2 linked regions of the Tribolium castaneum genome follow. The protein of the gene in region 2 interacts with the protein of the main gene of each other region in a biochemical or structural test. Links are inferred from orthologs where the notes say so. Each region holds a gene or a part of one and is shown on either strand. Other genes may lie near its edges.

Region 1 (3,760 bases), on a different chromosome or scaffold from region 2:
GCTTGAGCCCATTGGCAGGACTTCGCCATCTTGCTCACCCGGATTTCTAATATTTTTATCAAGTTCAAAATTAGTATTTATAATTTTTTATTAATTTTTTTTTACTTATTTATTTTTAATTAACTGTATCTGTCATTTTAAAGTCATATTATTTATTATTTATATTATTAACCCCCTTGGAGGTGGAAGTTCAATTTGCAGATTTAAATTAATTAACTATATTTTTTGGGTACGATTTTGTATCTCGTTCCGCCTCCTAACACACAGTCCTCCGTAGTCCGCACAAGCCTACTAAAAAAAAATACCTATATCGGTGCATCCTGACCACGTGATCCGAAATCATCAAATCATGATCCTCATCCACTGAATCCAACATCACGAACAGCAAATCAAACCGCGACAGGAGCGAGTCTTGCAACCCGATGTTTTCCATTGGCGTCTTGTACTGATCATACTACAAATCACCCAATCAAATCGCTGCTTTCGCAACCGACCAATCAAACCCCACCTTTCCGTAAACCGGATTGGCCGCCGCCAAAACCGAGCACCTGGCATTCAAACTTGCGTGAATCCCCGCCTTGGCAATAGTGACACGCCCCTGTTCCATGACCTCATGAATGGCCGTCCTGTCCATATCCGACATCTTGTCGAACTCATCAATGCACACGACGCCACGATCGGCCAAAACCATCGCACCGGCCTCTAACCGCCTCTCGCCGGTCTCCTGATCGGTTGTAACCGCTGCGGTTAGACCAACCCCCGACGATCCACGCCCAGTGGTGGGAATGGCCCGAGGGGCGGTGCATAACACGTATCTCCATGGCAACTGCCAATCACAATCAACGATTCACAAATCGAGTCGACTTACCGGAGGAGCTGTGACTTAGCAACGCTGGGATCGCCAATCAGTAACACGTTTATGTCCCCTCTTAGGCGCGTCCCATTGGGCAGGATCTTCTCGACTCCGCCCAAAAGGAGGCACAGGATCGCCTTCTTGATGTACTCGTGGCCGTGGATTGACGGCGCCAAAGACTTGGCTAATAATTCAAAGACGTTTTTGTTCGATTTGGCCAAGTTTTTACATTTGGCGACGTCTTCACGTGAAATGGAAGGATTTGCTTCTTTTGACAGTTGGGACACGTTACTTGCAATCACCACAGTGCTGCAAACATTAATCCCGTGGCAAAAAAATGACTAAATCACACTAATTGTTAACTATTTTTGAATGAAAATAAAGACAGTGGGGCACCAAGTCGGATCAAGTGTGTTGTTTACGTGACTATATTATTGTTTAAAACACATTTTCGTAATGTAATGATTGTTTTATGGCGTCCTGTCAATTCTAGTTCCAAAACCAAAATCACCAGCTTTTTAAAATTTGGCCCCAATTATTTTTTTATGTTTTTGCTTAATAATTATGGGAAAAATACCGGAAAATGCCGTTAGTGAAGCTCCCCTGTTTGTTGGGAAGGCACCGGTAGTTCCCCACCACTTGTATGCGGTCCCCGGGTTTGCACCTATCAACAAGGTCATTATCGCAGATTATATCAACCGAACGGGGCAACTGCCCCGCGGGGGCCTTTTCAGGCATCTCCTGAATGGAAATAGTTTGGTGGTCTTTATACACCGAAAGCCCAAATTCTGTCTCCAATAAATTGCCATCCTCGTCCTAAACCACTCAAATTAATTGATAAAAAATACAAAAAAGACACGACTGACTTTAGTGGGGTACACCGACGATGTGGGGAAGGCATCTAACGAAGTCAAATCAGTGTATTTCCTTTCCATTACTTTTTTCGTTACTGGACAAAAGTGGACACTCCGGACGACCTTGGGGTGCACCAACGAGCCTTAAAAACCAACCGGTAACGCAAGAAAGACGCAAACAAGTCCTACATTTCGTCACAATCCCCTCAACACAGACCAAATTCCCCAAAAACCTCGAAGTCAAACTCCTTGGAGTAACATGCTTATTGCCGAAGCTCCCCTCAAAGGCGATGAAAAACTCGTCGTTTTCCTTGGCATAGTCGTGCGCGACTGTGTAAACATACTCTTTGAGGGCTTTCTGAAACGCCGAATGCTCCTCAAAAGCGTTAGTGAGGAGGGCGGCAGCCCTGGCCGGGTTTTTGCGGCGCAAATCATTGACATTCACCACAAGCCGCAAACTGTGGTCCGCAACCATGTTTTTAACAAGTGTGGCGTACTTGCCTTGGTCCTCCTACGGGAATTTGGGGTTAAAACACGGGGGGAAGGCAACACCACCAATTCGTACCTCGTCATCGAGGAAGTCCAAGTACTCGTGCTGCATGTCGCGGAGGCGCTGGTCTAGCTCCTGGGGGTCCATAATGGGGCACTTAACACTGGAAATGCGGGTAATAACGGGCGAAAACACGGGAGGAGTTTTGGCGGGAAAAGAGCCACAGCGGTGTTGCCAAGTCGGGCCTGGGTGGCCAGATAGCTGGCACCATGAACATTACAATCGACCAGACAAATCATAATAAAAACATCAATAAGCTGTTACAGTGACTTGCATATCACATTTGCAGAACATCTCCTGACCGTTTTAATGTGTTTCTATTACAAATTAAAACTTAACTGCATTTAATTTCTACATTTTTTATTCCCTTATTCTCAGCAATTGTCTGGTCAACTGTCATGTGGGAACAGTGTCTAGCTGTTGACACCTTGTAGCAGCGTGTGAGCGTCGTGAGCGTGTTGTGCATCGATTAACAGGTAAGTCTTGATTGTCTTGATATTTATTAAATGTTATAAGTAAAATGTAATTCGTCTGACATTATGTTTATTTTCAACGATTGTGTCTAAAATTAAAGTAAATCAAATAACTGAATCCTGACCCACGACCACGTGGTTTTTATATTGTAATTGTTTTCGCGTCCAAAACATGGCAGTAATTACATAATAACTAGAATAATTATATTTATTATACTGTTATCACTAGGAAGTTGTAACACGTGTTGTACGGTAGGCAAAATTGCTTATCTGAATTTGTGTTTTTGTAAAGGTTTTTAAATATCGCAGAGAAAATGGCTGCTTAACGCTGACTCGTACTGTAAGTTGTTTCTATTGTTGTAATGTACAACTTTCACTTTCCTGTTAAATGTGCAACCCTCAATCCTTAACCGCTCGTGACGCCCCCCTTCTGGGAGCAGGTAGTTTTTCCTTCTTAAAAAGGACCGTCACAAAAATGAGGGAAGGAGACGCGATGTAGAGCTAAAAGTAAATTGTTGTAACGTTGTAAGTTGTTGGAAGTTTGTAGAGAATAAATCTGTTGAATTTTACACCGAGTATATTAATATTTCCCCTTTCTGAAGTATCACGAAATCGTGGATACAACACTATTCTTAGGTCCAAATCGCACAATAGGTATTTTTTTTATACTTGGAAGTAAGTGAATAATCTCATTTATCGGAAGAAAGGCATACCTATATTCAGAATACCAATTATTCATTAAACTCAACTAGTTTGTTAAAGTTAACTAATTGCCTTTCGCAGTTACTTTATAATAGCATACTTTACAGGCAAATAAGCTTGACCATTAATAAACTTACCTACTCATTCTATCAACAACACAATTTCTCTCAAAGTTAGTTGCATTCCAAAAAAAAATATATATATATATATATACATTACATTATCATTATTACATTATTATCATCGATTAAATTATAATGAAAACATGTCTTTACCACAATTGTTGTTATATTGTTTATTACCGAATCTTTGCTATAAAACTATTATA
Region 2 (3,660 bases):
TTCATTTTTTATGTCCATCGATGGTACACATCGAGTTATTTTAAAGACTAACGAATTAACAAATGCACACTAATGTTCAAAAATGTCAAATCTGGTGTGCAAAATGTCAAATACAGAATACAGCCAGTTTCAAAAGTGGTTGGACATGCACTTTTAGGGTGATACAGTCTTCTCTTTATCAGAATTTTGACACTGACAGTTGATTATTTAAAAAATAAACTATACCGGGTGCTCAAAAACCGGCGCACCAACTCAGTGGTGAGGCTTTCGGTGGTAGAGAACTGCTTACATATAAAGATAAAAATATTTAAAAAATTCTTTGTATTAAAGTTATTGATAAATAACGAATTAAATAAATGGTATGTGGCAACGGTGTTTAACAGTCGTGATCGTGGTCGTAATCGCAACGCAATAGAACTTGATCAACAATAAAGATAAATTATTTTTGAAACGGTTTCCTAGGAAATAATTCCCAGTGTTGGCACATCTACACACTGTGTTTTTTTGCTAAATTGTATTTTTTCTAAATTCAAAAAACTGCTAAGTCTGATATTAAATTTAAAAATAATTATGCATCGTTTTGTTAGGGAACAATTACGCATGCTTCTCAACAACGTACAACGTACCTACTACTGAGTTGGTGCGCCAGTCTCTGAGCACTATGTTTCAAGTTTTAGTGCCAGTAAAAAAATAAATACTTCTAGTTGTCCAAAAGAAAAATATCGCAAACGGTAGAGTATTTAACACGCTTCAATTTGTTGCTTTAACGTTATAACAAATTTTCATAGTATGAGCGTGAAATGCAAAAAACTATAATAAAAAATTTTTGTTTTCAAATTATTGCAATCTTTTTTTATAATAAAATTCCTCCTATTTTTTAAGTAACGATTCCGGAATTGAAATAGTAAAAAACGCAAGACGTTTGGGGCAAATGATTTATTTGATTTGATTTAGACCAAATAAATGTTTTATCTTGTCACCTTTGAGAAAACAGAGCTCGTGTCTTTGCTTGACTCACAAAAATTTGTACTGTCACTGTCTCACTTAAAAAATAGGAGGAATTTTATTATAGAAAAAACGATTGCCATAATTTAAAAACAAACAAAACATAATGTAGTTTTTTGCATTTCTCACCCATATTATAAAAATTTGGAATAACATTAAAGCATCAATTTGAAGCGTGTTAGAAACTCCATCGTTGGAAATATATTTTATTTCCTTTGAGCAACAAAAAGTATTTATTTTTTCACTGGAACTAAAACTTGAAACACCCTGTATATGATATTATTTTCAAAATTACTTGCATTAAATTTCTTATACTTTATTAGACTTGGAGATTTTGCATTTTACCGAGAACACACCGCGTGCCAAGACGGTCAAACGCTTCGGCCCACAAAAGTTTTGAAGATTAGGTGATTTTGTTTCCGTTACGTCTTTTCGATTTAGTTTTTCGTAATTTATATGTAAAATTCTCCTAAATAAAGAAAAAATCTACAAAAAAATATAATTAAATAAAATAATAAAATTAGGTAACTTGTAACTTTTATTACTTATTCATATGTAGTATTTATTGCATACCACAGAAATTAATAAAATTATTATTATAGTCAACAACAAAGAAAACAAATTTTCTGTAAAATTGAATTCATTTTGTTTTCTAGCGAAAATTTTTTCTTTTGTGTATAAGCAAAAGCAAACAAACGTAGATACAATATGAAAAAATCAAAAACTGCCATCCAATGTCCCAACTGTTTTAATAGAGGATCTCTGGACTTTGCCCCCTGCTATCTCCTTTCCGCGAAACCCGCGTGATAACGAGAATACTCACTTGTAGCATTGTCGCGGCAGGTAATAATTGGCACACGGTGTTTTCCGTCACTCTTATCCTACCGGTGTACATGAAATGTATTAGTCTAGCCATCGCGGTCGCGGAAACGCCTTGAAGGGGTATCCTCGTCATTTCGCATTCTTTTAAGCCACCAGTAAACATGGCCTTAAAGTAGGGACTAGCAGCGGCGAGGACCACTCGATGTGCATAAAATACTTCGTGGCCAACTTCTAGTGTTATGTCGGTCAACATTTGATGACCTCTCATCATGTCCATGGCCTGTAAAGTAACGAAATTATTTCTGATAAGGAGCTATCGAGTCATCTACCTTCATGGCTTCTTTGATGTAATCCAACATCATGAAACTCATGTCGCCCAAGTCAGACACGTGGACGCCATTCTGGCGAGAATGGCTTTTGCTGCAGTAACTGTCTTCGTCTCCATCCATTCTACAACTGCAATGGAAATGCGTATTTTTAGCGACTGATAAGAGGACCCCCTGGTTCCCAAACTTTTCGTAATTGATCTTTTAAATTTGATGTCATTAGCCGATTTGCCTATCTTATCATCCTCGTTTCAAGTCAAGTGTTTTAAATACATTATTTATTAGCGTGCAATTTTTGAATGGATCTCGTGGTAGTCAATTCAAACGGTGACACAAGAATATAACCGAGTCACTGTTAGAAATGTTAGTAATATGCAAATAAGACATGAATGAATGACACGTTTTTGAAAAAATCAGCATTAATAATGCAAAATGGTAATTTCTTGTTAAATTTATTCAGCGTCGATTGTGCCAAAATCTACGCACAGTAGTTAATTAGAAAAGCATTTTCATTCTAATACTGTTCGAACAATTTAATCTCGAAATGTTTACAAGTCATTCTTTATCAGGATCTTTGCACACTTAACGGAACATTAAATATTAGCATTATCAAAAACAGGCTGTTTAAATACTCTGCAAAATCGTTGTTCGACTTTTCTAATAGCTATTAAACAAATATTAACCATTCGCAATCTCGCGTGATAAGCTTGACACGAGTCTGCTGCTTTGAAAATCCAAAAGCAATGATTCACGTGTCAATAAACCCCTTCAAAAAATAGATAACGATTTTGCTTAAATTTGGATTTATTCATGTGACTGACGAGTTTATACTACGTGGTGTAGGCAAAGTTCAAATGACATCATTTTTTAAATGTGAACATTAGACTTTATGATCCTCTTGTGTTAAGAATGCACTATTTTAATAATAGAAAATGATGCTTTTAGCAGAGCTGATGCGCTTGTTAATTAGCTTTAATTTTTGTTTTTCTATTTTAGTTATTTTTGCCTGTAACTATTTCACACAATATAGGTGATTTAAAAGTGTCAAACGAGCTTCCAAATAGTGTCAGAAGACGTTTTTTCTTTTTTCCAGTTAACTAATATTTTTTTCCTTACAAACCGCCTTAATTGATGCCATTTTGTTTCCAATGTTGTCGGATTCAATTTATTGTCGATTTTCCTAGTTTGTTAAATGTCTTGAACACCATAAGACATAAATTCGTATTTTTTTTTTCAACAGTTATCTGTGTAATGTTGCAAGATCTACTATTTCCGCTAACTAAATTCAAGAAAACAAAATCTAAAAAATTAACACAAACATCGAACCTTTGAACAGCTATAGGTATCACATGAAAAAAAGATCAAACAATTTTTTGGCAGAAAACTTTTAACTTACTTGTATCTCTTTTATCACTGCGCAAAAGATGATCTAAGATTTTTTTGAATCACGCTGTATCGGTTTATACGTTTTATTCAAATTTCCAGATACATTATCATTATCACTAAA

Evidence for each region.
Region 1: the proteins of Keap1 (region 2) and Mcm3 form a complex in vitro, tested with the Homo sapiens proteins (2 studies listed by BioGRID, with this or other methods). The link is inferred for Tribolium castaneum from reciprocal best matches to the Homo sapiens genes KEAP1 and MCM3.

What each region holds. Positions count from the first base shown.
Region 1 is NC_087400.1:2,693,396-2,697,155, forward strand, and holds the start of Mcm3 (DNA replication licensing factor Mcm3), read right to left. Parts: upstream 2,474-3,760; 5' UTR 2,345-2,473; coding exon 2,273-2,344; intron 2,219-2,272; coding exon 1,897-2,218; intron 1,851-1,896; coding exon 1,720-1,850; intron 1,670-1,719; coding exon 1,431-1,669; intron 1,163-1,430; coding exon 869-1,162; intron 816-868; coding exon 509-815; intron 455-508; coding exon 306-454; intron 47-305; coding exon 1-46. UniProt on the Homo sapiens protein: Acts as a component of the MCM2-7 complex (MCM complex) which is the replicative helicase essential for 'once per cell cycle' DNA replication initiation and elongation in eukaryotic cells.
Region 2 is NC_087395.1:20,693,034-20,696,693, reverse strand, and holds part of Keap1 (kelch-like ECH-associated protein 1B), read right to left. Parts: intron 2,284-3,660; coding exon 2,157-2,283; intron 2,108-2,156; coding exon 1,829-2,107; intron 1-1,828. UniProt on the Homo sapiens protein: Substrate-specific adapter of a BCR (BTB-CUL3-RBX1) E3 ubiquitin ligase complex that regulates the response to oxidative stress by targeting NFE2L2/NRF2 for ubiquitination.